Linked DNA regions of Kluyveromyces lactis. The protein of the gene in region 1 purifies or fractionates together with the protein of each later gene. This does not show direct contact. Links are inferred from orthologs where the notes say so. Each region holds a gene or a part of one and is shown on either strand. Other genes may lie near its edges.

The links.
Region 2: the proteins of KLLA0_B01826g (region 1) and NUR1 purify together in Saccharomyces cerevisiae (affinity purification with mass spectrometry; 3 studies listed by BioGRID, with this or other methods). This does not show direct contact. The link is inferred for Kluyveromyces lactis from reciprocal best matches to the Saccharomyces cerevisiae genes SRC1 and NUR1.

What each region holds. Positions count from the first base shown.
Region 1 is NC_006038.1:147,568-164,732, forward strand, and holds KLLA0_B01826g (uncharacterized protein), read right to left. Parts: upstream 10,889-17,165; coding exon 9,092-10,888; intron 8,878-9,091; coding exon 8,263-8,877; downstream 1-8,262. Other genes in the region: E3 ubiquitin-protein ligase TOM1, read left to right, coding at 1-6,384; FMP40 (Fmp40p), read left to right, coding at 11,470-13,479; KLLA0_B01870g (uncharacterized protein), read left to right, coding at 13,815-14,834; KLLA0_B01892g (uncharacterized protein), read left to right, coding at 15,277-17,165. UniProt on the Saccharomyces cerevisiae protein: Plays a role in sister chromatid separation.
Region 2 is NC_006042.1:672,909-689,562, reverse strand, and holds NUR1 (Nur1p), read right to left. Parts: upstream 3,032-16,654; coding exon 1,391-3,031; downstream 1-1,390. Other genes in the region: FG-nucleoporin ASM4, read left to right, coding at 37-1,281; RIM13 (Rim13p), read right to left, coding at 3,241-5,298; RAM1 (protein farnesyltransferase), read left to right, coding at 5,488-6,777; clathrin-mediated endocytosis regulator UBX3, read left to right, coding at 7,162-8,400; RNA-binding signal recognition particle subunit SRP14, read right to left, coding at 8,519-8,974; KLLA0_F07095g (uncharacterized protein), read left to right, coding at 10,558-11,790; KLLA0_F07073g (uncharacterized protein), read right to left, coding at 12,666-14,342; ARC35 (Arc35p), read right to left, coding at 16,469-16,654. UniProt on the Saccharomyces cerevisiae protein: Member of a perinuclear network that controls recombination at multiple loci to maintain genome stability. Required for rDNA repeat stability.

The DNA.
Region 1 (17,165 bases):
ATTCGTTCTACAAAAGATTACTATCCTAACGATGATATCTCCTACAATATAACATCCGGTGTTATCGTTACTATAAAAATACTTGTGCTTGGTATGGTGAAAGAAATTTTCGAAATTGATGAGCTCTTCTCTAGCGATCGAAGACGTTTCCCATATCCAGTATTCAAACAATTGTTAAACATGATAAAAAACATTTACTCCTCTGCAGACGAGGTTGAAGATTCTGATTTTTCCCTTTATGAACTAAGGTGGGATTTAGTTCCACCCTCACAATGCAAAATAAATATGCTTAAATCTTGCGGAATGTCAGAAGAAGTCGCAAGGGGATACTTGGAAGAGCAATCTGATGATTTACCGATGCTCGTGAAACCAGACGTTTTTAGTGAAAATGAGTGGGAAAAGTACAAGGCTGCAAGAGCCAGTGGAGAATGGAAGACAGATCTCCAACTATTACCTCCACCCTATGAGAACTACAGCACCAAAGGAGATTTATGCGAATTCAGAGCAAGTTTCTACCGAAATGGTTTTGAGCAAAAAGTGCTAAGTATAGTGCAAAACTATCCGAAACTCATCAATGCGGTTTCAAAAATGTTTTTAGAAATATATGATGAACTTGAATTTCCACATGTTAGCATGTTAGAAGATTTGTTATCAATAATGAACTCAACTAAGATAGAAAAGGCTAGCCAACTCGCACCAATTGTTCATCTATTTGGTATATTTTTGAATGAGGAAAAGATTTACAATCAGTCAAAAACAGTTATTCACAAGTTTATAACTTTTCTTCTGGAAAATTTGGCACCCCAGTATGTCAATCACCCTTGGTTCTTCAAAGCATTATATGCGTACGAAATTATCTTATCAAGATCCATGTTCCCTGACTATGAAGAGGTGCCAACGGATTTCAAAATGCCAGAAATACCGACCGTAGATGTGCAACATCTATCCTCTAAAGATAAAGAGACCATTTTCAATGTGTTAATAAGAGTTCCTGAAATATCTGATTTCTACTCTTCTTTGGCCATTTCTCGTATTTTAATACTCTATGCTGCAAATGAAAAGTACGCTAGGGAAATTGTTCAGTCCGGTATAATTCCTAAGCTGTTGAAGGTAATCGGTGCTCATCAAAAGTCAGATAAAATTAACTATTTGGAATCATCTTTATTATTGCTATGCAGAAGATGCTTTGAAACCAAAGAAGTGGTTACATCGTTAATAAAGTACGAACTCAATCGTGCATTCACTACCAGAGCAATAGGGGATATGAAAGAAAAATCTAGAGATTTAACATTGCTTATTGCTGAAAAAGCCAATATTATAATGCGTGATCCAGAAATCTTTGTCACTGAGCTATGTAAAACTGGCAGAATGGTTGATTTTTCTTCAAGCCACGAATTGAGCTCATTTTTAATGAAGCGAGTTCCAGAGGAAAATAATGAAAGAATAGACATAGTTCCATCAGCTGATGTAATATTCAATAAAAGAACATCCATTGTAGATCTTTTACTCTCGCAGTTGATGGCTGCCTACAAAAAAGATTGGCTAACGGAACCAGCAACACCAAAGGAAGACGAAAAAAAGTCTAAAAAGAAGCAAAGATTAGAAGTAAAGGCTTCCAAAAACCCAATCTGTGCATACATGATATTCCTTTTGAAAGTTTTGATGGAACTTTTGTCCAGCTACAATCATTCTAAGTATGAGTTTATGACTTTTAACAAGCGGGGAATTTATAGTGAATCACCAGCACCTCGTACTACTGCTTTAAACTTTTTCATTCACCAACTTTTGGACTATAAAACCCAAGATGGAGACGTATATGCTGCTAAACGTAGAGAAACGATAGGAAAACTAGCGACGTGTGTTCTTACCTGTTTTGTGAGTTCTGTTCAAGATGAACGAGTTGACAAACCTGACCCAAAGGCACCAAATCCCGATATGACCTTTATCAGAAAGTTTACTTTGGAATCTATATCTAAGGCAATGAAAGATCTTAACTCAACAAAGTTCTTGGAAAGTAATGTCGGAAAGTATCATGGTTGGTTTAACTTAATTCACAGATTATTGGTTACGGACAACTGGGTAAATCACTTATTAGATGGCAAGAAGTTAAATGCCGATAGGTATGAAATATGCAAACTGATGCTTGAATTAAGAATACCTGAGACTATTACCGAGTGTCTTTCAACGTTAGATTTAAATGTACCATTTTCCAAGAAGGTTTTTAATGCAGCGGTTGATCCATTAAACTCTATTACAGAAATTAGAAATGACTACTCAGATTTCTTTAAGCTTGAGAATAATGAAGAAGAAGATGATGTTGATGAAGAATCCGACAAAGACGATGTTCCGGATATGTTTAGAAATTCTGCATTGGGTATGTATGACATCGAAGACATCGAAGATGATGAGGACGACGACTCTTTGATTGGAGACGAAGATGTCGCTTTTGTTCAGGATAATGACGATATAGAGATTGTTTTCAGCGATGAAGAGGATGAACAAGATTCCATTTCAGAGTCTGATAGTAGCGAGTCGGATGACTCCAGTTCTGATGGGGCTGAAGAAAGCAGCGGTGATGAAGATATGGATGTACACATGGCGTATAACTCAAGTGATGAAAGTATGTCTGTCAACGATAACGAAGAGGACGCATCCGAACATGATAGCTACTACTCAGAAAGTTCCCCAATGTTTGTTGAAATTGATGAACCCGCTTATGGATCTGACCTAGAAATTGACTTGGATGATAGCGAACTATCATCAGACTGGGAGTCTGGCCTTTCTGAGCTTGACGACACTGACTATAATAGTGACGACTCCCAGCAAGAAGAAGACAGCTACAATCCTTCAAGAGCAAGAAATGTTGGCAACAATACATGGGTTACATCCGATGGTGTAGAATTGTATGATGATTCTGATGGTGAAGGTAGAGGCATATATAGAGGCGTGCAGCATGTCACCAATGATGAATTAATTTTCCGAATTGATCACCGGTCAATGTCAAGCAATCGTCGTGGCCGTCATCACAACCGAACAGCAATCGCACCTTCTATCATATCATTAGGAGGCGAATCTGATCGGAGCAGAAACATGCTGACTAACCCCCTAGGTCCCCATGGCATGGAAGAAGTCGAGGATATTATTACCAACAATCAACTTGAAGATACTCCAGCGCGTAGATTTGGATCTGGAATCACAGGATTCTGGCTAGCGGAATCATTAATGGATAATAAATCAGTCGAAGGTATAATTGTCAAAAAGACCACTGAAAGGTGGGGTGATATATTCGAAATGTTTTATGAGAATAAAGGATTTTTGGGGAATATTTTACCAGAGATTGTATCAAGGGTGATTAAAAGAAGTTCTGAATTGTGGTGCCAACGTCAACTCGAATACAAGGCACAAAAAATGGAAGAAAATTCAGTAGCAGACCGCACTAGGAAAAGAAATCTCGATGAAATGGCAATGGCAGAAGATGAGGCTGAAAATGCATCCAGTAGAGAGGTATCAGATGTTGTGCATGAATCTGACAATGAGTCTGAGGTAGCTACTGATAATCATGAACCAGTTTATGTCATCATTGATGGCAATGAAGTGGATATCGGAGGGACAGATATTGATCCTGAATTTATTAATGCTTTACCAGAGGACATGCGAGCGGAAGTGCTAGCACAGCACATTAGCGAGCGCAGAGCAGAAGCTCAACAGCAAAATATAAACTCAAGAGAGATAAACGACGAGTTCTTGGATTCAGTGCCAGCCAATATTCGTGAAGAAATTATTGCTGGCGAAAATGTTACCAGAAGATTTTCCCACCTTTTATCCAATAGAAGAGTTGATGAATTTGACGGTGATCTGAGTAGAGATGATCATGACCTGGATAGTGACCAATCGGTGCAGGGAAATACTCAACCAAAATCAAAACGCGTCCACTTCGATCCGTTAGTTGATCGTTCCGGCATAGCTACAATTATCAAAAGTCTTTTCATTCCTCAGCCATATCTTTCTCGCGAATCCTATCACGAGCTTTTCTTCAAACTTTGCTCCAGTAAGCAAAACCGCAGCGATATAATGAACTTTTTATTGCTAATCTTAACTGAGGGGATAGCTGACCAATTTTCCTTGGAGAAGGTCTTCAACTTGATTTCTAATAAGGCTAACTCTTCCTCCGATCACAAAAATATTGTATACCAGTTACCACCAGATTGCACCCCACTCATTGTTGCGAATCAATGTATTGAGGTACTCCAGTTTATGATTGATTCTGATGCTCGATTGAGATACTTTTTCGTCACAGAACATGATAACCTCATCATTAACAAACCATACGTCAAGACCAAAAAGGACATTTTTTCGAAAAACATGAAGTGGCCAATCAACGCTTTGTTCTCCTTATTTAACCAGAAATTGGTGACTGACGAGACTGTTTTAATGGATCTGTTAACGGATATTTTGGAGTCATGTTCCAAACCTATTACGTCGTTGGTTAAAAAGAAGAATGCAAGCAACTCCAAAAGAAATTTTGAGATTCCTGTGATTGAGAAGAAGCATTTGGAACTAATCGTTTCAGTGATCAAATTGGATTCGTGCAATACGAAAATTTTCAAGCAGACCTTGAACCTAATGACCAACCTTTTCTCCATAAAGGATACTCAGGAGATCTTCACTTCGGAGTTGAGAACGTTGGCAATGTCTACGATTTCCCAGTTGATAGCAGATTTGAATGAATTGTGTTTGCAATTGCCTAATGTGAAGAGCGGAACAGAAATCAACTCAGAAATCATTCAAAAATTCACTGCTCCCAGCTCTGAGCAGTCCAAGTTATTAAAGGTTGTAACTGCTGTTGATTATATCTATTCTCATCAAAAGGAAGGAGATACCGAAAGTTCACGCAAGTTAGTTGCATTGTTTAACGAAATGAAACTCGGTGCTGTCTGGGTTGCGTTAAGCAAATGTCTAAGCGCCTTTGAAGAAAAATCACCTGTGTCTACGTCCGCTACCATTTTACTACCGACTATTGAGTCATTGATGGTTGTGTGTAAAAACAGTAAGGTTAGAGAAGTTGCTGCTGGTCAATTGAAATACACTGAAAAGTCGTACGATTTTGAGACCATACCTGTCGAAGACCTTTTCTTTGAGTTTACTGATCTGCACAAAAAGCTATTGAATGAAATGATTAGAGCCACTCCACAACTTATGAGCGGCCCCTTCCAACTTTTGGTCAAGAATCCTAAGATCTTGGACTTTGATAATAAAAGACACTTCTTCATGGCAAAATTGAGACAAAATACTACAACTCGCCAGAAGCTTTCCATAACTGTTCTTCGTGATCAGGTATTCCTTGATTCATACAGAGCACTTTTCTTCAAATCTAATGATGAGATAAAAAATTGTAAATTGGATATTACTTTCAAGGGAGAAGCTGGTGTTGATGAAGGTGGTGTAACAAGAGAATGGTACCAAGTTCTTTCTAGACAAATGTTCAACCCTGATTACGCATTGTTTATTCCAGTGGGTACGGATAATACCAAGTTCCGTCCGAATAGAACATCGGGTATTAATCCTGAACATTTATCATTTTTCAAATTCGTGGGTATGATAATTGGTAAAGCAATAAGTGATAACTGCTTCTTAGATTGTCATTTTAGCAGAGAAGTTTACAAAAATATCCTTGGTAAACCTGTTTCCTTGAAAGACATGGAATCCTTGGATTTGGAATACTACAAGTCTCTCAACTGGATGCTTGAAAATGACATTACATACGTAATCGACGAAACATTTTCCGTCGATACTGATGATTATGGAGAGCACAAAACTATTGATTTGATACCAAATGGCCGAAATATTCCCGTTACTGAAGAGAATAAGAAGGAATATGTTCAAAAAATTGTAGAGTACAAGCTACAAGAATCAGTGAAGGACCATATGCAAAACCTTTTGCAAGGTTTCTATGCTGTCATTGATAAAGATTTGATTTCAATTTTTGATGAGCAAGAATTAGAGCTATTGATTAGTGGGTTACCTGACATCGATGTCGATGATTGGAAGAACAACACAACCTACGTGAACTATACACCAACTTGTAAACAGATAAACTATTTCTGGAGAGCGGTGAGATCTTTCGATAAAGAAGAAAGGGCAAAATTGTTGCAATTCGTTACCGGCACATCAAAATTACCATTGAATGGATTCAAGGATTTGAGCGGTATAAACGGTGACTCGAAGTTTTCAATTCATAGAGATTACGGCTCCACGGAGAGATTACCATCATCTCACACATGTTTCAACCAACTGGATTTACCTGCATACGATTCATACGAACAATTGCGTGGTTCTTTGTTATTAGCGATTAACGAGGGTCACGAAGGTTTTGGATTGGCATGAGATTTTTGACTATAATATGTACTGATAAATACTACAGCAGTAAATGTTATTTAACTTCATTATTTAGTGAACCTGCTTATGAATGATTTTAAAAGGATGAATATTATCATTGGTTTATTTATTTAGGTTAAAATACGAGTCAGCGAACAACAACCAGCGCTAAGATAAGTAAATACGTTTGTGGAATGAAGGTTCCCAATGCTTGTCAGAGAAAACGACTCTGTGCTCAAGAAAAGAAAGGGACATTGCTCATTAACTATGAAATCCAGCATGCATAGTAAACGGCGTGCAGTTATGAGTGCATCTAGCGTAAAATGAGGTGGGGTTTAACAATCAAATATTCTTGCTCTGTTCTAAAGACTTGACGTGAGCTTCCAATCTTCGAATGGAACGATTCATGTCAAGTATGTCATCATTCCATTTCCGCTGTCTTTCCTCAATATCGATCAATCCTAACGTCAACAGACCAGCACTTAGACAACCGATTGAAAATCCAAGAAGGCCAGACTTAAATACTTTAGCCGTTGGTGATCTAAACACTTGTAATGCAACCGGACTAGCTCTCATTAACTCCTTTGTAAGTTTTCAGGGATATCTTGACTTCTGCTTAAGAAATTCCTGGGGTTTATACTTCATATCTACATAATATAAAAACACTACAATGAATATAAACATAGATACGGAAAGGATTGCCATCAACGCAAAATATCCTTTCTCGCTTCCTACCTTTATATATATGTATGTCGCTCCAAAAAAAATGGATAACAGTCGTCATACATCATAGTTGAAGCGATGCGGCAGAAAAAACCTATCAGAACTATTCAAGGAGCTTTACCGGGATTCCGTTCAATAAATTCCTCTCCCCCTCCCCCCACCCTTGCAAGGAATTCTATCAATTACGCGACGCCAAAGAGATCAGTGAAGAGGGTTGCGTTGGAAACAGAAGAGTGATGCTGGCCCTCATAGGCTTGAGCCCAGTCTTTCAATGCCAGACGGAGAAACATAGACTTTCACGTATCTAGCTCCGCATCCCGAACTGACTTTAACCATTCAGTATTTCTCAGACTAAAGGCAAACCGAATCTCTTCAGTCATCGAATAAAGCACCTACTTTCACTGGAAGGCCTTGGGATAGAGAGAGAAGTTTAGTACGTAGCATTATGTAAGCACCCTTAGAGCTTGTAAAAAACCACATCAACAAAAAATAGGCTGCTCAAACTGAACACCCACACTGCACCTATTGCACCGCGTTCATTTTTCAGCTTTTGTGGCAAACCTGATAGAGGAAAACAGGGAAGTAACTGGTAAAGACACCGTAGAAAACATTTTCTACGGCCTTCCTTGTAATGTTTTTCCGGGATCAAGGTTTATTGTCTGAATTCTATGTTAACTCCTGAAGAAAACCTGGAGAAGAAATGCATTTCTGTGTCTACTTAGAATGAGCGATTTCTTGTAAAAAAAAAACTGGGGTAAAATCGGAGGTATTTGGATAAATTATGGAGGAAAAGAGGTGAATCTCCACTTTTTTGTTCGCTGGAGAATGGGGATTCAATTTCAGCACCCCCGGGACTAATGGAAATATCGGCAATGTAGTGAGTCAGGACTTATGACTACATGCGATGGCTTTGTTAGGATTAATGGAGATGTCGTTGTTTGCAAAATCCCTAAACGTCCAGTGCCATATGTCACGTGATAATTTTCTCTGTCGTTGATCGGTGTATACTAAGATAAGTGAGAATTACAAAATATGTAGTTATACAATTCAATTTAGTGTACATAGTTCATATATATTATATGCATACACATAAAGTCTATACTGTCTCTGTGAACAGTCCCAGGTCGCAATGAGAAGAATCTTAATTTACTATTCTTATCACTACTACTCCTGTGATTTTTGATCATTTTCGTTGTTCTTGTTTTTTGTGGAACCTTCGTCAGATTCGTTCTCGAATGGCAATACACCAATCCACTCCCAACATTTCATGATCTCCCCGTGGATTTCCATCAATGTCGACTTCACATTGGTATTACCATCTAATTTCTTGGTAGTCAGAGCCCAAAGCCTGTTCTTCTCGTTCAAATCGTTCATATCATTTAAGATCAAATCTCTCAATTGCACAGATGACATGTATCTCGGTTGTTTTTGCAGGATAATCGCTTGTTGCAACCTCTTGATCACTTGTTGTGAAATCTTTTCTATTCTTTCTCTTTCTTGTAGCTTTTTAGAAATGTACCTTTTCAAAAGTTGGACTATTACTAGTAAAGATACAACGGTCAGAATGATTCTTTGATATCTTTTCCAAGTTGTGTGAACTTGCCTTTCAAATTGGCATTTCAAACCGATGTACTTCTTAGACGTAGATCGAAAATACCCCTGCTGGAATTCTGTTTCTTGAAAATGTCCCTCCGGTCTTTCAATTTCAACGTCCCAGTTGGATGTATCAATGTCGTTGGAGTCTCCTGAAATAGTATTGTTTCCTGATCTTGTTGGTAACTGTAAACAGAAAAAATTGGGATGCTCATTATTATGAACGAAAAGGTTGTTAGTAAAACATATTATTGTTTGTATTATTGTCAATCTCTGGTAATATAAATAAATCACAGAAGGACGCTACCGCGATATGCATATACATATTCGTCAATTCTTCGCCGCGGCTCCAATACTTCGAGTTTATTTATCACGAGGTTGATCTTAAACATATACTCACTTGCCTCCAAATAATCTCAGGTTCCTCTTTCAAGTCAACCTCGACTTGTTGCCACAATGCGTCGAACTCTTCGTCATTGATCCATGGCTTTTTGGACTCATAGAAAATTTCGTAAAGCTCTGCATTACTAATTCCGCTCTTATAGTCATCTTCATCTTCACCACAAGATTCTTGGGCGTTTTTAGTTCTTAAGAGTTCAAGCGTCTTTTTGACAACTTCTTGTACAAGCTTCTGCTTTCTGGAGTCCTTCACACACTTAGCATGAACAGGAATCAACCCATGAAGAGATAATGGAGATTCTTCGACAATGTATCCCGGCTTACATTTGATCTCCAAATAAGGGTAACATATGGCATCGCTTGGACATGGGATACAATGTGGTTTGAAACGTTCTAATTGGTTTTCGAATTCGTTGATATATGGATTAGAATATTCTCTACCAAGAGTTGGAATGTCAACCTCAGAAGCACAGAAGCCAACAGCGATTCTTTGTTCACGATACCACAACGCAAACAAAATCGGCAACAGTATTAATAAAAACGAAATGACTTTCAGTAAGAAGCGCCCAGTTGATATCAATCCTTTTCTAATTATCGAAGAGATGTTAGTTTCTTGAGTAGGTATTTCGTCTGTTTTATTCTTAGCGGCCTCAATTATTGAGGTAGGATCCTTAACAATTGTACGCTCACCCTCATCACCCCCATCAACTTCGTTTTCATCCTCTAACAAATTTTCTGACTGCTCTTCGGTTGCAGATTTTGGGACCTCTTCCTCGCTTTCTTCATCCTTGGCAAAAGTTTCTGCTTTTGTAATAGTGGTATCGCTCTCTTCCCCGGTTTCAGTAATAATAGATTGGTTCACTTGTTCCTGCAATTTTTTTACTTCTCTTAAAGTTGGCAGTTCAGTCGCTGGAACTTCCGGCAGTTCTTTCTTGACTGACTCTTGTTCTACTTTTTGCAAGGTTTTGGCTGGTTTGGAATCCTCAACCTTTTTCTTGATTGGTGTGGACTCACTAGTAGATGGGTTCAAGGACGAATCTGTCACTGATGGGAATTCGGCTCTAGTCTTTAATGATTGCTCGTTTGGGATATCCGACAATATGCTATTTGCTTCTGGAAATTCAGATTTCTTTGGTTTTGCTGTTTTCTTGATGGAAAAGTTTATGAAGCTATCGTCTTTACCAGTCTCATCTGATGCATCATCTGACGATTCAAATTTGTCTATAATCAATGATCTGTGAGGTGATTTGATAGGTGATTTCGTGGTAATTTTTTTTGCAATCGGGGACCCAATCTCTTCCGATTTGACCTTCTTTTTCGTTTTACGAGTCTTTTTCACAGGTTTGGTATCTTCGGTATCACTGCGCTGACCATCCTCATCCTTTGTCCTTTTCTTTCTCTTCTTTGAAACAGGCCTCTCACCATCTTTTGCCTCATTTTCCTCCTTGATGGTTGATTTCTTAATAGCCTTTGCCTTGGTCAAAGATTTCTCCAGGGATTCTGGAGTAGTTGATTTCCTTTTTTTGCTTTCGCGCTTTTTCTTCGTAACCTTAACACTGGGAATAACAAGCGGACTGAGACCTCCATCTTTCTCTAAATTCTTTCTAATACTGCCCAAATTATCCTCAACGAGTTTTACCAAAGAAGCCTTCTTATCATGTGCTTTGAACCCGATCTCATTGCTAGTTAACACAGTTTTCAATTGTGCGATCTTCAATGTCGAAAGATCAAAATCGTCTTTCAAGATAGAGTCATTGAAACTGCTATCAGCAGCACTGCTATCCTCCTCCTTACTCATATTGATCAGAGGTATAATATAGCACACCAAACTGCCTGCTATACTAATCAATCAATTTTTTCCTCTTTCAATTCAACCTTTTTCCCATCGAAACGATGAATCGATTATACGATTTGTTTATGTGTTTATTGTGTTTGTTGTTGATGTTTACTTTCAAGAGATTTTGGTGGGAGATTTTCAAGTCCGGGTAATGAAAATGGGAAAACGGTAACTTCCGTCGCGTATTGAGTTAGGGTAGTACTGACCGTCGCATTTTGACATGAAATTGCTGTTATTACGTTACTTACTGTCTGTATATCTCAATTCCTAATTTGCAATACTGCAATTCAAATTGTAAGATTGGAATGCAAACAATTGTGGTGCTTGTCTCTTCAATGTTTGTCTTCTTCACCTTTGTTTTGCTTATATAATAGCAACCTTCACTGTAGATTTATTATTCAGAAAAAAACCGGTATATAAGAACCACCTTTAACTTCAGAAGAGGGATCTCATCTTGAAATCCCCTAATTTTATCAAATCCCGATATTGGTTATGTTGGATGGAATCAGCTGCTCCTATCCACATATAATATCATTCACACAATGGCTGACTTTAGGAATATTATGCAGGTACTAAAAGAATGTGGAACTTCCAGGGTTGTTAAGCATATGGAGCCGGAAAGGTACTTGCAGTCAGTCGGCGCAGCCAAGGAATTATACCAGAATAAAGATGAAGAATCATTGAAAAGGCAAAAACTGGTGTTTCATACTCCGAGACCAGTGACAACCGAGAACAATGGTGTTCCTCACTTTTCTTTCGGTGTTCCGGAGGAACGTCCTCATTATAAGTTCATGGCTCACAGTAAAAAGGCATTGGAAGATTTACAGTTGAAAAGTGATTCGTCATTAATAAACATTTGCCAGGGGTCAGACGTGTACATCGATGAATCGAGAGAAATTTTTCCTTATAGTCTCGCTTATGCCGGGTTTCAATTCGGTGAGTTTGCAGGACAATTGGGGGACGGAAGAGTTCTCAACCTTTTCGATATCAAGGATAAGGAATCTAAACTGCAAACCGTCCAGTTAAAAGGGAGTGGATTAACTCCATATTCAAGATTTGCTGACGGGAAAGCTGTAGTCAGATCAAGTATTAGAGAGTTTCTCATATGTGAGAGTTTGCACGCCATTGGTATTCCGTCTTCTAGGGCATTGCAAATCTCATCGCTACCGAAGACTAGAGCAAGAAGATCTGTTTTTGAGCCTTGCGCTGTGATAACGAGATTTGCACCAAGTTGGATAAGAATCGGTAATTTTGATTTGTTTAGATGGAAACAGGATGATGAGGGTCTCTTGAAATTAGCAGACTTTTCAATCAATCATGTTTTCGAAGGATTGAAAGACTACAGAGACACTGTTGCATTAAACAGCTTCAGTGCAAATTATTTCGAAGGAACGTCTGATACTGTGAACAACAAAGAGCTACGTTCGTCAAAGGTCGATGATGGTTTGACAAATTACGATAAATTATTCAGACACATAGTCACGTTGAATGCAGAGTGTGTGGCATACTGGCAAGCATATGGGTTCTGTAACGGTGTCTTGAATACAGACAACACTTCAATTCTAGGTCTTTCTATTGACTTTGGTCCATTTGGATTCATGGACAAGTTCCAACCACAATATACCCCAAACCACGACGATTATAATTTGCGTTATTCTTTTGCCAACCAACCCACTGTTATATGGTGGAATTTAATCAAGCTTGCCGAAGCTCTTGTTATACCCTTAGGTGTAGGTCCAAGTTTAATTGATAAACTTCCAACGACTAATCGAGGAGAGTGGAAAGATCCAGAAATTGAGAAGATATCCAAAAGGGCTACAGCAATAATTAATCTAACTGGTTTAGAATATGAATTCAGGTTCACAACAAAATATGCAGATTTGATGGCAAAAAGATTAGGTTATGATTTGAATATTCCTGCTACCTTAACGGACGATAATTTAAAATCTGTCGCTGAAAAAGTGACTGCTTTTACTACGGACATCATCGAACCTATTTTGAGAATCTTGACGGTATCTGGTGTTGATTACAATAGCTTCTTTTTGGCTTTACAGAATTACGATGGTAATTTCCTAGATGAAGGAGGAATTAATGGAGTAGATGATGGTCTTTACAGAGTTTTCTTTAATGAAGAACAAACCAAGAAGATCAATGATTATTACATTGGGCAAGAACAAGACGACTCCGGAGAGACGAGAAAGCTAATTGAAGAAGCAGAAGTCCTATCAAACTGGTCAAAGGACTATAAACAATTAATTTCAGACTACCCAGAAAGAGTCAAAATAGCGAAACAATTCAATCCGTTATTCATCCCCAGAAACTATATACTTGAAAGTGTTGCAAACCATTACACCGATGAGCAGCGTAATGAACTCAACGACCCGGATGCAAAATTGGACAATGGCCCTCTTCAGAAATTAATATTGATGGCAACCAACCCATATGATAAATCAGCTTGGGATAGTTCTTTTTTACCCGAACTAGAGAAAAAATGGACGAATGTCACTGAGGATGAAGATTTGTTGATGACCCAGTGCAGCTGCTCTAGTTAAGTATATATTCACCCTTTCTATTTTTTCACTTGCTACTTGTTAATTTCCAAAACCAACCAACCCTCAGAAGACATGTGCTAGTGACAAAACGTACTATCTGGAACTCAGTGCTAGAATCTAGATTGATGATAAGTAATAAACAAGTTATACAGTGAACTCTGCGTTAATGAAATTTATTTCGCAATATGGCTGATTGTTGATGTTATTTGGATCTAGAAACTGTTGGAAACGTCAGTTTCAAAACTTGATCTCAATCCAAAGGCCAAAAGTATAAAAAGGCACATGTGTCTGCATTATTACACCCCAAAACAATAAATGGGAGGTCACCAACGACCATGTTTGCCCATATTACTGGTATGCAGAAGACAAAAAAGAATATCTTTGAGCCTTTACCTTCTCAGAGTTTAAGCCGGTTACCAACTCCATTTTACAAACTTGACGCCTATGATTGTCCTATAAATTTTAGTGAGATATCAGAATCATCTGATAGCTTTTCAAAGGAGCTTGAAAGCATTATCGAGAAGGTGATGTCTGAAAGTAATTGTGCCTCTTCTTCCTGTGAAACATCTGTTAAGTCTGAAAAAATGCCAAATGACAAAAAAAATTCAGTAGAGTTGAAACTTATGAATGATTTTTTGTCGCAATCTATCTCAGAGTCAAAAGATGAAGCCGAATCCAATGGCCAATTTAACAGCACCAATGCTATTGGGTCTGTAATTGACAAGAAAAATATTCCAGAAACAACACCAGAAGAATATCTATCTATTGACGGTCAGGAATATGCCTCTCAGCAAGTTACAAAAAGAAAATTGAAAGGTGATTGGACAGGAGAACCAGTTTCTGAGGTTGCTGTTGATAACAACACCAATATTCAACAAAATGCTAGAGGAGTTATCATGATGAAGTTAGTAAAGAGTTACATCAAAATGCAGAACTTTATTGACAGATACCCAATATACACTGCTGGGGATATTATGCGTCAAAAAGCAGCTCTTGTTCATTTCAAAAAGAAAATTGATAATGAGAAGGTTAGAGAGGGTTCCCATATGGCAAAACAATGTTGTTACACCATACTTCTGGGGCCATATTATTTAGGCAAGATGCTTTACAAGCAGTTCTTGAAATCTTTGATAAAATACTCTATTGAACATCTAGAGGAATTCAAAGACACCGATTATCAGGAAGTCTTAAACTTTGCAAAGATCCAAACAGTCAACATTGATTCTTCTTCGAAATCGTCAATGCTTTACAGGCAGTGGATGCAGACTGCCAATGAAGTAGCACTGACGCCAGTTTCCAGTTACAGAAAACTCGGTACTAACACCAGTTCTTTGTTGCCTTCTATTGAAGGTTAATTGTAGGTTGATTAACAAAACAAAGTTACTCAGAAAGAAAAGGACAATAATAACCGTGAAAAAACGCTGAGTAGCCTAATAGCCTTTATGTATGTTCTGTTTTCTATACTAAAACAACGCAGTTTCTATTGTGTAAGGAAGTTTCCTTCTGACAACCCACCGGATTGATACAAAGAAAATAGTATCACGTGGTTATCATAGTTGTGACTGCTGATAGTGCGGGTAATATGATCTGTCAAATTCCAATGTGAAATGATTAATATGAGATATACTAATTGTTACTTCCCTCATTTAGTCCATGACTATCGGATTATGCACTTTGAAGTTGCTATCCAATACAGATTACTATCGAGGTAGAGTTGCCGATATACTTTGCATATCTCACAAACACTGTTACTACAATATAGCTATATCTTTTATTCTACTTGCTAAGATTTAAATCATGGGGTTATTTTTTGATTCCCCGGGCTCAAACTTGTATTTGCCTTGCTTTACACTTGTTGACGCACCTAAGCTTGTCCCACTACCTGGTGTATCGTACAAGGTTTCATTTGAGAGAGATTCTATTATACATGTGCTATCTGAGTTCAAACGAAATAATTCATTCAAGAATAATCATCTATTGGACAAAATCAACACGGCTATTGCTCAGAACGAAATAGTAGTCGATAATTCAGTTGTGAATTCATGCAAACAGTTCCATAAGAAGTACGGCTCTGATAATAGCAATAATGACGCAGAAGTTCAGATGTACATAGTTCTTTTACCCTTTGAAGCCGTGAATAACTCTGTTGGAGCTGCTTCAAGAATAACTGCAATTCAGGTGGAAGATGACACCATTACAATTACGTTCAAATCAGTCGCAAGAGTTGAAAACAAACAACCTCTATTGAATATGCAACATAGTTTATGGAAATCCAGCATCCTAGAAATTGACGATCGCTCAGAACTACGGACCTGGGATCATAAAAGCATTAACAAAAGCATTTTGAGTTTCGTGAAGATATTTTACGACACAGACAAAATAATCAAAGACTTCAAATCAAAATACTCATTAGCATCCAAGAGATCAGGTGATATAGATTCTAGGGTCTTATATCTTTCTCCCTTAGCGAACACTCTTTTCATGCAGTTAAATGGGTCTCACTTTAACAAGTCTTGGAAATTATTGAAGGCTTATCTAGAGCAACTCACTGTGCTTGAAAGGAATTATGACACCTGCTTTGAATTAGTTTCAATGATGGACTTGGTAATGAGTATACTACCTATGTCATTGAAACAACGCTTAGACTTTCTCACTGCGAAGAAACTCAAATCAAGGGCAATTTTATTCTCCACATGCGTCCAAGACTTCCAACAAATTTTCAAAAAGCTTGATGATAGCGTGGATTATGTAAATAATCACTTCTCCAATTCTTCGAATAATGACAAGTCCAAGTTAATTGCAAATCAATTGAGAGCTTTAAGGTTTTATATCGATGATATTAAAAGGAATAACTCCAGCGTTATACTGAAGGCAAATTCCGAAAAAGAACGTACAGACGTCACATCCCCAAACAAGTTTTTGAAAACCAGTTCGAGTCACGATGAAGATTCTGATTCAAATGACGAAATGGAACAAATTAAGTCTTTTATCGACTCCTTGGAGGAAAAAAATGTTCATCCTGACGGTATCAAACTGTTACAAAAGGACTTCAAACGGTTCATGAAGATGACTCCTCAGAATGCCGATTACCAAGTTCTAAGAAACTATTTTGACATTGTGATGGACATTCCGTTTGGAAAAACTGTCAATATCTCAACTATAGATTTGGCAAAAAGTAGAGCAAAATTAAATGAGGATCACTATGGATTGCAAAGTGTTAAGCGCAGGCTAGTAGAATATCTCAGTGTCTTAAAGATATCCGAGATTTCTACCAATGATCCAAACCTTAATACCGACCTTCATCCTAAGAAAGACAGGGCTTCTATCAATAAGCCGCCTATCCTTTTGTTGGTCGGTCCTCCTGGTGTGGGTAAAACATCTATTGCTAAGAGCGTTGCTGATGTTTTAGGTCGAAAATTCCAAAGAATATCTCTCGGTGGTATACATAACGAAGCAGAAATTAGGGGTCATAGGAGAACATATGTGGGTTCGATGTGTGGTTTGATCATTGGTGCTTTAAGAAAAGCGGGTACAATGAATCCCTTAATTCTTTTAGATGAAGTAGATAAAGTATTGAGTGGAGGGGTTGGTGGATTTGGTAACAGAGTTAATGGGGATCCCGGCGCCGCACTATTGGAAGTATTAGACCCTGAACAGAACTCTACCTTCTCGGATCATTATGTAGG
Region 2 (16,654 bases), on another chromosome or scaffold:
AACATTGTTGAGAAAGCGAACTGACAATCCTAAATCATGAGTTCAGTATTTGGCCAACAAGCGCAACAAGAGAACAGGTTTGCAAACTTGCAAATAAATTATCCTCAGCAGCAGCAGCAAAACCAACAACAGCAGAATAGTTCACAATCACTAGTACAGAGCTCTGCCACGAATGGAAAGGAAGAAAACTGGTATAATATAGCTAGAAAGAGAAACATTCCACAATCCGTGATAAAAAGATCGTCTAAACCGAGCTCATCTGGAGATGGATCTTCGAATGACAACTCTTCCCAAAGATCCGGATTCAATAGCGTCCAGTTTGGCACAAAGAAGCCAACATTCAGCTCTACGCAGCCTGCACAACCTACTGATATCGCGACTTATGTGGAATCGAATGAAGCTCCCCCAACAAAATCGTTATATGATTGGCAACGAGAGGATGAGTTCGGGTCTGTCCCCACTAACGTGAACGCAATGCCTTCGTCTAACCAAATACCTTTGACTCAAGAATACACTAAGAGCACAAGAAACGCATTCGACAGAGATGCGTCGAAATCCCCTGTAAAACCGACAGCGGATCAAACAAATGATATATCAAGACAAAAATCGCAAGAGAGCGCAGTAATTGTATTTGGATATCCAGAATCCATTTCAAACCAAATAATATTACATTTCTCAAAATTCGGAAATATTTTAGAGGACCTTGAGGTTCTAAGAGGTGTTACAGGTAACAACATATCCAGTGCTACTATTAGAATTCGTGCTCAAAATAAGGACTCTAAAATTCCTCATAAGAAATATCCTATCTTCACGGGCGATGGATGGATTAAAATCACGTATGACTCCCCTAGTGCCGCTCTGAGAGCTCTACAAGAGAATGGTACCGTTTATGGAGGTTGTTTAATTGGCTGCGTTCCTTATAGCAAAACAGCCGTAGAACAATTGGCTTCGTGCAAAATCGATAAAACTGATGACATCGGAGAAATCCCGTTCAGTTTATCGATGAAACCAAACGGACCTGAATCATCTGATATACAAAATGGGACACAAGAAAGTGCTGATAATAATAAACATGGGTTCACCTTTTCTACTCGGAAATTGGATGTCAAAGATGGAAAGCAGTTGTTTGTGCATAATGCAAACCCTCCTCATGGTGGTCCAAACTTTTTAAGAAATTTGGAGAACAAGTTACGAGAACAGGAACAGCATGGGAATAACCAACAACCAACAAATTTAATTGGAAGGGTCAACAATTGGTTATTCGGGTGGAACGACCTATAGTCTCATTGTCTTTAGTAATTAGAGATGTATTATGTTTATATAATTTACGGATACCTCAAGAAATTCCAGTGCACCAAACTTCAATGAATGTGAGTATTTGAGTGAATAACTACCGAAATGGTGAAGACGATGAATTCCGAAAGGGAGACTTTGATATACGGTTATCATCATCATCACCATCATCGTAATGTAACGTACCAGAATTGATGTCGGGAGATCGATTGAAATAGCCTTGTCTGCCTCTTCTGAAACGATCATCCATTCTGAATCTGTCATCAGACACATCGGGTATGCTATCATTTGTTTCATCCGGATAGTTTAGTAACCTATTTGCAAAGTGTTGTTTAATAGGACTATGAGAGTTTCTTCTCTCACTTATATTATGATTTCTAGATGCATTGGCCAACATGGAATGATCGAAATGAGGTTGTTGAGATGGTATTAGAAGTGGCGTGGAGGGAGCGGAAGGTGTATTACCACTTTGAAGATGAGAATAGCGAGAAGGGCTCAAACGCGGACTATGCTGTCTGCTAGGATACGATTCTCGTACATAAGCACCATTTATTGACTTAGGGTGATGGTACGAGAACCTTACGTAGTTTTCCGTACGCTGTGAATTGGCATCCTCGAATGAATCTGTGCGAGGATTATACTTTTCTTTACTAAGTTTCCCACTCAAAGTGTGGGTTGCAAAGACGTGCGACCTTGTAGTGGTGTAAGCCGGATAGAAGTAAACTATTCCATCGTTATAAGGTGTTGCGTCAACCATCGCATCTTGCTTCAAGACATTCATTTTAGGTTGAATAACTTTTGAATTTAATTCAGCCACACTGGACATGCTCAAAATCTGCTCATCCTTCAATTTCTGCTCGTATCGATCAATAACAATAAACCATAAAACATATTGGTGAATAATGATTGGAATAAGAGTTTTGAAAGTAACATCTGTCATCCACAAGAAACAGAATGCAATTGGAGAAAATGAGACAAAAAAAGATGTAAGAAACCTGCTTGGTGTCCATTTTCGTAATTCATAATAATGGGCTCTATTTGTCTCATCATCGTGAGACCCATTGAACAAGAGATACTTAATCATCCCCCATAAAGAGTCTCTTTTGGCGTCTTCGACGTAGGTATGGTTCAAATCATGAAGTGATTTTTTGGTTACATTCTTCGACTTCGGAACAGTTTTCCAATAAAAAATCGAGTAGGTCTGGAAATGCGCGAAAAGATATCTATAAGTTACCGAAATATTAGTGATTAATAACAACACCGTCAGCAGATAAAACAGGCGGTGCAATTGTCTTAACATTTTGTAGTATAAATTTTCGCTTGAAGAAGCGGAACCTCCATACTGCTGAAAATAATCATATTTCTGAAGATTCTTAGATTTTGAAAAGTCAAATGCATCATCAGAATGAGTTAGCTTATTGATGTTTGGGGCTATCACATTGTCCTGCAATAATCGTACGGAGAAGAAAAGGAAGGTTAGAACATTTCCTAAAGGCCATGCTACCGAGTTTGACTTACTATCCCAGTCAATCACAGCTATATCTTCGTTGATAGATAAGTACCAGTCGTAAGGTAATGAAAACATTCCCATGAACGAAGCAAACCATCCTAATTTTTCATCCTCATTATAATTATTATTATCTTCCCTTATATCTTCACTATTTTGGAACCTGTCAGGACTGGGGCTTCTTTCTTGTGAAATGGCTGGTGATTCATGTCTATTTCGCCAAAATGCCATTATTTATTTGCTTTGTTTCCGCGCTTTTGCATTAGTATCAACGGTAAACGGCTTGACAAAGATCGTTATGACCTTAATTGTTACAAATTTCATTATTTATCTTATAAATCGTTTTTGTTTACCTTTTGAGCAAACATAAATACAAATCACGTGATGCAATGTGATGGATATGCTTGTGGGTGGAAACCTCCACAACGTACTTGTTGAAATTATAGATCCGATTCGAATATAGCTCGGTGAGAAGTTCCGAGATTACAGATCACAACATCTGCATTGTAGAATATTTCTAACACGTACGATGCTGGCTTAAGTTCAATATTCGGTATCGGGAATGGTTTAACACTAAGATCATACCTTGTTTCTATTTGTTCAAAGAGGATTTCCTCTGTTTCTTTCTCGTACAAACGTAACGTGAGTCTTCCATTTGTTTTCGAAGCTGACGTGAACAGCAGAACAAATAACCGCGTGAAATTTGAAACTGATATTGTGATTCTCGTTTTGCACCGCAAAACCTCATTATATCTTAATCCCCCAAATCCTAACGAATATGGAGATAGTTCAAATTTTGACTGCTTTGTTTCAGGGTTTCGCAGCGTAAATATGAACGGAGAGGTAATATGATGAGCGATGGAGCATACTATAAAGTATTCTCTCCCTTTTAATAACCTTACTCCATGCTTGGAAAAAATTTGTGGGGAGTATGTGTCATTCTTAAAGATCGGACGTTGTAGGGCATAATCATCGGACTCAAATATTTGAAAATTCACCTTCGCTGGTAACTGCGAGACTAGCTCAAAATCTAGATAAGTATCATCGAAACCATCACTTTTTAGTTTGAAAACAGGACTTTTGAAATATTCAGAAGTACCAATAGTCCACTGATTATTTGTGATATTCCAGCTAGACTCAGCAGTTAATATATCTGATTTACATTTTGACATTGAAACCAAACCAGAATTAGATAGTAAATGGAAAGTCAAATTGCACTTTTTGTCTGAATGATAAAAGATTAGACGTGTTTCATGGGGGTTTAGCCGCAGTTGCATATTACAGAATCCACTATTATTCCCCTCCGCTGAGACAGCTGTAAACCCAGACCTTGGAATTTCACCAATTGTCAGGTTGGATTCGAGAATAGAATCATCTAGTAGGTGTCTTTCTAGATAAAGATGACAATTTTGAATGCTGTTTGATTTGTTCTCAATGCACATCAAAGGTTTTTGAGTCCAGGTAGGATATGCATTAAATTTATCTGGATATCGATCATGTAGTTTTACACGTTGAGTGTACTTTGAATATGGATCCCAATTTACATATAACCATTTGAATTCTTTTATTAGGTCGTCCCAAGTATACACAGTGGGGTTTTCAGTACCGTGAGGATTTAGGATGGTAAATTGTTCCTTCTTCCAATTGACAGAAGTCACAACAAAATCATGATTTTCTGTTACCTCTTTTCCCTTCACTGAATCTGTTCCTAAAGCAAGCATGGCATTGAATTGGTAACATTTACGTATTTCACTAAATGATACGTCTCCTAGGTTGAGAATCTCTGGTATCCATCCTGTGAGCAAATAAGTATCAGTAGCTGTATTGGATCCCCCATACGCGTAGTTCCGATTATTCTTGATTTCGAAATATGCAAGCTCAATCAACATATCTTCTATATTATGGGAGAAGAGAGTCAAGGCAGCCCCGTCTTTAGAGCATTTTGGAAAATTTGAATCTCGTAATACTGACACTAGTCGATTTGACCCATTGAAATGAAGAATCACGTTGAAAACGTTATGGACGCTATAACTCTTTATCTGATTTTCCTCTCTAGCATTGGTCAAACTACATATTAAAGAACAGTTGTTGACCCGCCTATTCTGTACAATACGTTCCTCCGTAGTAAAATCTGGCTGCATTTTGACCAAGTCAATTGGTTCATTCCCGTACTTTATAATACTGTCTAATTGTTGCAAATCATTCCAGGGTTCTTTGACCACTAGATCATCGCCCAATGGCGGATAACGCCTACCATACAAAAAAGACGTCATCCATTGGAACTTGTCATTGAAATTAGATCTTTTACGAGCATCATTAAACCAAATCAAAAACCGTATTAGCTGTTTGTCATCACTTTTCTCTATTTTGTCCACTATCGCTTTAAATGTGTTAATATCCCAAACGTTCTTCACGTAGAAGTTCCAGCATATCTCATACAGCTGGTTCCACACAGAGTCTGCTTGCTTTTCCAGCATAGCTTGCGCTCCTCTGGGCATCAGTCAATTAGTCATTTAGCCTTATTCTCAGTTTTTGAGGTTATCGATGCATTAAACTCATTTCTCAGTTATAAATATCTACCGTAAATGTTATTTGAATAAAGATTGAGGTTTCGTAATAGTAAATTGCCAGTTTCAGAAGCATCAAAGAGGGCGAGAACAGGAAAGCAAAGATCTGGACAAAGGCCAATGGCTATAAATAGTGCTACCAGGGCTATCAAAAAGATGAGTTATCTTCGAACCAATGTGCTTGGAAGGAAACGAGAAACAATAGAGCAAGAAGTGGTAGATGAGGAAGAAGTGATGGAAATTAGAACTTCAAATACAGGGCTGATTACTGAAACCTTGGTGGAAAGGGAAGAGTTAATAAATGAATGTCTGGAGCTTTATGAAAAGGCTCCAGAGAAATTCAACCATTTGCAGAAGGATTCTCATAAGATGTTCCTTGAATATTGGTTAAATAATCCATTACCTTCGGGATTCAAATCACTCGATGCCTCTCAGCCATGGCTGTTGTACTGGATTGGCAATGCCTTCAAAACAATGAATCCCACTTGGCTTACGAACGATTATCAGAAGCGTATTTTGGACAAGCTATGGTATATATCACCTACAGGTGGTCCCTTCAGCGGCGGAAAGCATCAACTACCACATCTAGCGGCCACATACGCTGCTATAAATTCCATCGCTCTATGTCACAATCTCGATGATAACAGAGAAATCAATAAAAAGGCTATATACGACTGGCTCATTTCTCTTAAAACACCTAGCGGCGCGTTCATGACTGCACGCCCAGTCGGCGAACAAGATGTGAGAGGCGTATACACTGCATTATCTATAGCGTCACTACTAGGCATTGTGGACTCTAAACTAACAAGTAATGTGACGGAATTCTTGACAAGATGCCAATCTTACGAGGGTGGTTTCGGAGGCTGCCCAAATGATGAAGCACATGGTGGCTACACTTTTTGTGCAGTAGCCAGCTTGGCAATGTTGAATGCCTTAGATAAGGTCAATATCGATGCGTTATTGTCATGGTGTAGTTCTCGTCAAACTAAAGAGGAGAAAGGTTTAAACGGAAGAAGCAATAAACTTACAGATGGTTGCTACAGTTTTTGGGTTGGCGGAACTGCTGCAATCTTAGAAGCATACGGGTATGGAGTATGCATAGATAAAGACGCCCTAAAACAATATATATTGAAATGCTGTCAATCGGAAGAAAGCCCTGGCCTAAGAGATAAACCGGGAACACAAGCGGACTTTTATCATACCAATTATGTGTTGGCTGGTTTATCAATTTGCGAACATTCTTTTATGGTCCGAAACAATTCACCCTTCGATTTTGTTGCAACTCCACTTGTGCCAGAACCGGAAGTTGAGCCTATTCATCCCATATTCGGACTGGCTATCCTTGACGTTAACAATTTCATTAATAGACGCGGAGAACCATCCATGTCTAATCTGTCAATGAAAGTGTAATGAATTCACGATTAACTCTGATGGCATGTGTAATACTATAAAACTATATACTCATTATGATACCTAAATTAACATGACTCCATAGGTGAAGAAAATAACTTTCGGAATATAATAAAATTGAGAGTAGCAATCATCGGGAATTATACTCTAACTATTAAATGCCTTAGTTGTACTATTTAGCCGTGGCGCTTTTCTTTGTGAATTTCCACTCACGATGATCTATCATTGTCTGTCCATTAAATTTGACATTTAAAAAACAATATCAGACATCCTTTAAAAGTTGTCAATGGTATCCATAGGGTAAATCTTCAGTAGAAGAAGAGAAAGCTTCACCTATATTAGAGGCTGTACTCTTCTATAGAAACGAATCTGCAACTGTTGAACATGGTATTCAACATTTTCAGTAGGCCGTCTCAGCAGAACCAACCTGCAGTGAGTTTTACCCCTCTCCCAGGATCATTCCCTGAAGACAATGATAATACAGAACAACCTGAACAGGAAACAATACTGAATGCTGGCGTTCCTAGAATATTAAAAATGTGCTTATACATTCCACTAACATTACTATATTACTTGCTCAATATCCTGTTAACTTCGGTGGAAGTTTTCAAACCAATAGGCAAGATCTTTCATTTCTACACAAGAAAAGACAATCATTTCAGCGATGATTTGGGTAACCAATTCGTAAATGTTATAGATGTCCTTTCTTCATCAGCCGATACCAACGAACAGAGTGGTTATACATTCGATACGTTGTACAATGTAGAGAATGGAATGTTGAGCAAAAATATGATTAAGGGTGGTTACACTGATATCTTACGTCGGTGTTCCAGCGATGGTAAATTTGCAATAATATCTTTCTTCAATCCGATACTATACGATCCATTCGAGTACGTAAGAAAGATTTTAACTTCCAACGAGTTTGTAGAATGTGTCACCAAATATAATTGCGTTGTATGGTTTTGCGATGTTACAACACCACAAGGGCTACAGACTGCTAATTCTTTAAAGATTAGACAGTTTCCATTTTTAGGTGCCCTTGGACCCCAACGGAATAATAAAATGAAATTGCTTGCCAGAGTGGAGGGCCAACTATTTGATTATGATTTCTCTCATTTTGAGGCCAAATTAGCCTCATATTATTCAGTATTAGTTGAGATTAGAAGGCAAAGACAGTACCAGGAAATGCAACGGTTATTAAGAGAACAACAAGATTCGAGATACCAAGAATCGCTAGAAAGGGACCAGGAAAGGGATAGGGTAATCGAGGAAAGCCAACTTAAAAAGAAATGGTTGGCTTGGAGAAAATCTGTACTAGTGCCAGAACCATCGGGTGACGGTTGCAGAGTAAGCATCAGACTAGAAAATGAAAGAATTATTAGAAGATTTGATGCTTCATTAACAATTGAGGAGATTTACGCATACGTTGCATTATACAGAGCAGGTTTATTATCTGACACTAGCAGCGAGAATGATATTACACAAGAAAAACCAAATTACGAGTATCAGTATGACTTTCAACTATATTCACCTGTGCCCAGAACCCGTTTGGAGCCAACCACAGTGATCAAGGAAGAACGGACAATTTATCCATCGGGAACAATTGTCGTGGAGTTCGAATGAAAACCAAATTACTGGTTTGCAGTTTGACATCTATATATGTATATATAACATGTACTTTATAATGCTACACGATTGCGGATTTATGATTCATGGGTGATAATAGGTTGGGAATATTTCATCAGTTTTTCTTACCACCCTTCTTCTTCTTCTTCTTTTTAATTAATCCAGACATACTTGTTTTTACAACATTAACATAATCCTTCCAAAATTTATCAAGAGTCTTTGAATCTACCAAAGTGAAGAATTTCGTTCGTTTCCCATCATATGGCATGCTCACTAGCACGATAAGTCTGTATGGTTTTGTATCTGGTTGAGCGTTTTGTTTTAAACGTTTGGATTCTGACATCTTTGAGATATCACCAGTAGGATTGGAAGTAACATCCAATTCATTAGGTTTTTGAACGTGATGACTGCCCAAGTCTCTTTTCAAGCTTACTTTGAGCTGATTGTGCGATACCTTGGACATTCTGAAAGCTTTTTCAAGCTTAACAAAAAATTCGTCATGAGACAAAGGTTTCTTTATGAAATCTGGCGTTTCCTTAAGCCCACTAGCGGTTCCATCTTTGTCTGACATAATGGGAAGTTACCTGTATATTCTGGTGACTTGGATAAGTGATGATATTGAACCTTTTTCTTTGGACATCTTTACCATATTCTGCCTGTCGAAGGTTGAATCTAAGGCCTTTCCCTCATTTGACTGGAGCTAAGTACGATTTTTTCAACTGGCAATTACACTACCCGGCCATCGTCCCTTCACTATGTGTTTCCTCTTTATTTCTACGACGTTTCTGATATCCACTCTGTTTCTATACCGGTAAACAAGTGCAAAAAGAATGAAATGTGGCAAACCACGTGACGTTCTTCATTACCCGGATAACATTTAACATCTGCGCCAGATTTGCCAAATCAATTGTGCCTATTCACCTGAACCCGAAAAGAAATTCGTTAGTTTTTTTAGAAAAAGAAATTTCCGATCCTCGATCTTGTTTTTCCCAACAAAAAAAAAAAAGAAAAACAACAGGTCCCCATACTATATGAGATGAGACGAGATGAGATGAGATGCGATGAGTTACAGAGAAACAGAAAGGGGGTAGTCATTGTCACTTTGCACTAAAGAGAAGCGTGTGTAAGCTTCTCTGTCATCAAGGAGATTACGGACTGTTTTTTGAGGTATCCTATTGGATATGTAAGTTGATCGCGTGATTTGCTACAGAGTTTTGTTGGCAATGTTACACCTTCAATCGATCAACTGTACATTCTCTCACCCTTGATGAGAGATCCGGGAGTATCCAGTGTTATTGTAGAAGCTCAATTGTCAATCGATGGCAAGATATCAGACATTGGTGTCTGTTTTGTTTTTTTTTTTTTTCTCTCCCTACTAGCCTTTGACGCATTTTCCTTTTGGTTGGATTTGGTTTCATAAAGAATCAGTGTCCCTCGCTGATTTCACCACAGTACAATTCGTAAAAAAAAAGAATTGAAACATTAAACCGTTAAGCGTAGCCAATACAATCGTTTATAGGTGCTTTTTTGTCCAATTGGATATTCGTTCTTAGTATTTATTTGTAGTATATAGTGAATAAGCAAGATTGTGTTACGATTGGTATCAGCAACGGAGTGATAAATCCATCCTCATGCCCTGTTAAGTCCAGGCCCTTGGATATCAACGGCATCAGTAACTTCCAATGTGGACCCTTTCTTGACGCGCGCTGGCAGGGAGATCAATGTAGTGCACTCCGTTACTTTTCGAAATATATATTTCTTACTTTTTTTTCTCGTTAACGCTGCTGCGGCGTATTGTCTAAATACATTAATTCAAATCTTTACCGTAATTTCATTTCCAATATATAAAACCAAAGGCAGTTTAAATTTTAAATATTAAGATTGTCCCAATTTTGGTCTTTTTGAGTTTTTGAGTTATAGAATATTTACATATATATAGTGATAGATTTGAGCAATCTAGTTCTATTTAAAAGGGACATATCATCAGGCTAATCTCTTGATATCTGTTTCGGCTGTGAAAAGGGGTTCTGCTGCATAAATTCAGAGCTTAATCTAGACTGTATCACCCGGTGTACCTTTTGGTATTGAATTTATATTCCTGATTTTAACTGGGCCCGCTTTTAGATTACTTGTGGACATTTTCCAATCAAAACAATGTCTCAGTCTCAGTACGTAACCGATGCTGAAACTACTACCGAGTCTTGCAAAGTCGCTATAGACACACATGGTAATGTGTTCAAAGTGCCGGATTATACCATCAAGGACATTTTAAGTGCCATTCCTCCAGAATGCTATAATAGAAAGTTAGCTGTCTCGTTATACTATGTGTTCCGTGATATCGCTATCATGGCCGGTATCGGTTACTTTGCCAATGTCTTTGCTTATCCATACGTCAAAGATCTACACGTTGCTGCAAGGTTTGTGTATTGGGCATTTTATGGCTACGTTCAAGGTCTTTTCGGTACTGGTCTATGGGTGTTAGCACACGAATGTGGTCATCAAGCCTTTTCTGATTATGGTGCTGTCAACGATTTTGTGGGTTGGGTTTTGCACTCTTACTTGTTAGTGCCATACTTTTCATGGAAATATACCCACTCTAAGCATCATAAGGCTACCGGCCATATTACTAGAGATATGGTTTTCGTACCAAAGACAAAAGAAGATTTCGTCAAGTCTCGTGGTATTCTTGCTGACATCGATGAATTCTCTGAAGACTCTCCAATTAGAACTTTGATAGAATTACTTACTCAACAATTGGGTGGTTGGATCTACTATTTGCTAACCAATGTCACTGGTCAGCCTTATCCAGACGTACCAAAATGGAAATGGAACCATTTCTGGCCAAGTTCTCCTGTGTTCGACGATAAAGACTACATTTACATTCTGCTATCAGATTTGGGTATTCTGACACAATCGTTGGTGTTGAAGATATGGTATGATAAATTTGGCGGCTGGTCTGTTTTCATTAACTGGTTTGTTCCATACATTTGGGTTAACCATTGGTTAGTGTTCATCACGTACTTGCAACACACAGATGCCTCTATGCCACATTACGAGGCTGACCAATGGTCCTTCGCTAAAGGTGCAGCTGCCACTATTGATAGACAATTCGGATTCATTGGCCCTCATATCTTCCACGACATTATCGAAACACATGTTCTGCACCACTACTGTTCCAGAATTCCATTCTACAACGCTAGACCTGCTTCAGAAGCTATCAAGAAGGTTATGGGTGAACATTACCGTTTTAACGATGAGAATATGTGGGTATCACTATGGAAGAGTGCAAGAACTTGCCAATACGTTGACGATGCTGACTCCAAGGGTGTTTACATGTTCAGAAACGTGAACAACGTTGGTGTCGGAACTGGTAAGAAGAAGAACTGAACTAGCTAACAATTAACTTGGTTTCTTTAGTTTCCATCAATTCATGACCAATTCTCCTATTTATTTCCATTTATACTTTCTCACCTTCTTTCCTACTTTCCATAGTCCACACTTATCATCACCACATGATATATTAATATGTTAACAACTTACTACATTATTTTACGAACTATAACTCTCATCGTCTTTTGAACCTTCTCATGATTTTGAATTACGCATATTAACCAAGAGAGAAAGAAAAACAGTTACAACATTCACAGGCACATAATAAGAATATTTTACTGATCAGACGTCGGATGCGAAGAGACAGATAATCATAATTGTGACCTCCGATCACAAAATTGAAAAGGCATTTACATTGTCTCTATTTTTTCTCCTTCTCTCTTCTTATATATAAATATATCATAAATATAAAAGTTTTTAAGCGTTAAATGTTTACATGATGGATACTATGGAACTTAAGGATTGATTTGCTAATCATAAAAGAATATAACATCTAAAACGTTATCATAAAGCTAGTACCCTCTTCCGACATTCAATTGAATGAAAGACACTTGCCTCATAAACAGTTTTATTTCTTTCATTCGCTAATTATTTTAGTGCCAACCTCAGTAAATTGAAGTAATTATTAAAAAATCTCGTTTCTCATTAATATATAACTTTATATAAATACATATATATGGACAGTTCGGTTCATGTAGTGCTACAAGTACCGTATTCACAATCCGTGCGTTTATGTGTCGTATGTTTGGGTAAGGAAATAGAGGTATACATATTCCCGGGTATAATTCGTTTCATATTGTTTTAGTTATGTTTGTTCGTTCCTCACTCCATAGATCGTTTTTGTGCCAGCACATTACCCTGGATATCCGTTCTCAGCCAGTGTAGTTATAGCCACATTCTTTGCCAACATGATCTTTTAACCACGTTTCAATACTTTCAAATTTCTGACCACAGTGTTTGCAATGGCCTGCAACGTTCGCTCTATCTTTTTTCTTTGTTCCTGGTGGGTATTCAAAATGCAAAGCTTTCAAATGGTTTTTGAAAGTGTCGCAACGTGAGAAAACCCCAGTTGAATGGCAATTTGAAGTCTCGAATGGCAAATCTGCGGTTTTCATGTCAGAGCCCTTTAATTTTAGATCTAAGTTAATCAAGTTAGAGTTAAAAGGGCATTTATAGGTTCCTTTTAATTCATGCAAGCACTTTAACTTCTCAACAAAATCCATAGATTCTTGGTTTAAGTCATCTTTCCAATGCAATTTTTTATGTCTTATCAAATCATTGGATCTGGCAAATCCACGAGAACAAACCTCACATTTGAAAGGCCGTGTCTCGGGTGACAGGTGGGTTGACTTATGTGTTGATAAATTAGAGAAAAAGAGACCACATAAAGGACATTGCTTCTTCTTTCTTGGTTGTTTTTTGGAAACCATGTTTGCATTATTTTCGATCTTCATCTTAGCCGATTTCGAGTTATCCATAAGATGTGTATTTAGATCACTTGATGTGGATAACGATGAGAGTTTTGATGTACTCGACACCGTAGACGAGGGTGTCGATGTAGTTGGTGATAAAACCGTTGCAATTGAATTTGTTGGGCTTGTCGCATGATTGTTAGTTGTTGATATCGGAGAAATCATATGATGCAAGCTACCTTGGGAATGTGAGTGTGTATGGTTACAAGAGCTACCGTGGCCTTGACCGTAGTGTGTATGTAGCTGCTGGTGATGCACATTACTATTATTATTATCGCTAGTAGGTGACGTTTGTTGATCCATTAATGAATTCATATTTGAAATACCTGAATTAAGTTTGGGGATTATCTGATGATGTGGTTGCGAAACAGGGTTACCAGCAAAGGGGGATTGTGTATGAGAACCGTTACCATTCGACAATGATGATTGGAAATATGAAGATGGACGGTATTGTTGACCGTTAGGGCTTGATCCGGAGCTGCCTGTGCTTCCGAATTGGTAGGACATCAAAGAATCTGTAAACGTTTTACCGGAAGAGACGACTACAGGGACAGAGTGGTTGTTTGACTCTTGACGTTGTATTTGCTGTGGATGACGTTGATGCTGCTGCAGTTGCTGCTGCAGATTATGATGGTGATGTTGATTGTGTTGAATATTATTATTGTTATTATCATTAAAACTGACACTGCTACTAAAACTTTCCGCGTGGTCAGCATTATAATTACCGTTGTGATGAGTGCTAGGAGTGTTGGCATTCGTATAAGCTGCATTTACACTTGCACTGGCACGGGGACTCACGCTTACCAACGTAGAAGCCATCAAGCTATTCGGTACCGACGTTCGAGAAGTACGTGGTGCAATGTTTACGGTACCAGACCCCACAGTGAACTGAACTTGGCCATTCGTCACACCTGGACTCGGCGTACCTGCGTTAAAATTCGAATTTGAAGACGTTATACTATTGTTATCTGTTACCGAAGCAGCTCTGATCAAAGAATCAAAAGATGAAATTGGTGGCAGTTGGATCATTTGTACATGATCGGAACCGTTGACGCTCGAGTGAGATAAAACGTCCATATTTTCCTTTTCTTTATTTTTCCAATCGTAAATGCTATTAGAATTCGTTACCCAAGTGAATAATATAAACCATAGAATATTATATTAGTACTGATATCTTAGGAAGTACAACAAAAATATCGCAGCCGTTTGATGTCTGATTATGGGATAACAAAAAAATACGTACAGTAGCAGAGCTTACACAAAAAACATACGCCAATTCCGTATTTCAACACCATACATACCTGTAAATCACTTTAATGCTCAATATATATACATATATATATGGCTAAAGCATCTTACCTTTTTTTTTATTTTTCCAAAATCAAAGGCTTTAGCGGGTCCAAAAGTAGCGCTTCACATTTGCACGTAAGAGCCGACGCTCTCTCCCTTGACCATCCCACACTCAAACTCACACATAGAGGAGCAAGCACCCTTGTTCGAGGGAAAAAAAAACCAAACTAAAGAAACCCGAGGACAAGCCGTGCGTTCCATATTAATGATGAATACCTACATGGACAGGTCTTTTGCGTATGCCACACTACAAACGGTGAAATCCAAACCGTTACAGAAAAAGTCGCAGCAGCATACCCACTCGTTGCCCTTCCCAAAGGATGGAAAAATGATTCGGCATTCTCCTTTCAGTTGCAGAGCATTAGATCAACAAGAATATAATCACTCAAAAACAAAAAAAAAAAACTGCTTGGAAGCTCTGGAAGGAAAGGAAAGAAATTAGTTAAGTATAGCTGAGCGAGAGGGAAGGTAGTAAAAAAAAAAAAAGAGCTCATAAACTGTCGCATACGAGTTGCTGTACCGGAGATCTAGCCATGTTGGAGATTTCTTTTTCGTTAGTACTCATGGCGTGTTAGCAGCTGGTGCCTGGTAAAGGAACAAGGGACTCGGTAATGAGCGCTAAACTCCCTTGAGTCAGTGTCAGGTCAGACATACTAAATAAAGATAAGAAAAAAAACACTACCTTGTTTAATGTATATATCAATGACATAGCTCGTTCTGCTGGAGTTTAGTTACTGGGTCATGCTTTTACAAATTCCATTCTGAATCGTTGTATCAGTGGTTGGGTTTTCTTCCCCAGTCAATTGCTATTTGGTTGCGGCTGCAACCGGAAGGCTATGCGATATATGAAAGAGGACTTAGGCACTCCCGGAAAACGAAAAAAGAATTCTACAATATACGATCAGTCATCTAAAAACATTGCGTTGCTATCTGGTTCTTCACTCCGGCTTTGCTTTGACAGATTCAAACCGGTTCTTGTTTCACCTTGTGTCGTCGTTTCATTGTATGGGATTTTCCATAACTTTGGATGCTTTTTTTTTCCTGATTCAATTTTGAAGCCGTTTTTGAGCCATTTTGAAGTTCGAAAATAAAAAAAAAAGGTAACTACCAGAACTTGGCGTAGGTTTTATGAGCCGTGCGCAAAGTGGGAGGTATATTATGATGGAGTACTGGATAATAGCATCCCAAATTGCCGACGATATCATAAAATATATTCCGTTTGGGTAAGACCCAGTAACGTGGGCGTAGAATTAATGAAGGAAAAAAAAAAAGCACAAATGGCATTACCATGTAAGGAATGGCTAAACAGGTAAGGCCGTAGGGTTTTGGTTCCAGAATGCAAGTTTGCGAACATTGGCAGTATAGGCTTGCCCAGCTGTCATTCCGTTCTGAATTGTGAAGTGGGGTTTGGACAGATAAAGGAAGGGGCAAGGCAGGGCAGTGCTAATTCCAGCCCAAACTTGACCGGCGTTAGTACTCTGGTTAGGCCATGTACCATTTACCTTGTGCCTTACTTCGCAGCTGCAACAAGGGTGAGGAAAATTGAAAATTAAGCTTCTTGAGCTTCTCAAGCACTCTAAAACTGGGACGGAATGGTCCGACTCGGAGTTGCGTTGTTTTTTTTTTTCTTTCCACTCAGGTAGGTTTTACCCGGTCTTTTTTTTTTTTTTTCCATTCCTCTTTGGTTGTGTTAGAACTGACTCAAGGCTCGAGCGTTTATTGCCCAGCAATTGCATGGCATTACGGAGGGAAAAAAATCTGAATAGGATCATCTACTTGTCACGTGATATAAATCGCTACATCGGCAGCATTCTATTTTATACTTTAAACACATTATTGAAACCAATTTCTACTTAGTAGACCATTTTTCTACCGGTGATTGTTCTACGTGAATCGGATTCAGTTTCTTCGTCTAGCTTTGCTCTATTCAAGACCTTGATGAATGTATCAACACGATATCTCATTCTTGAATGCATGTATGCCTTAGCACACTTGATATGGTAATGGAAATAGTTCCTGAATAGGGCAAGCTGTGACAC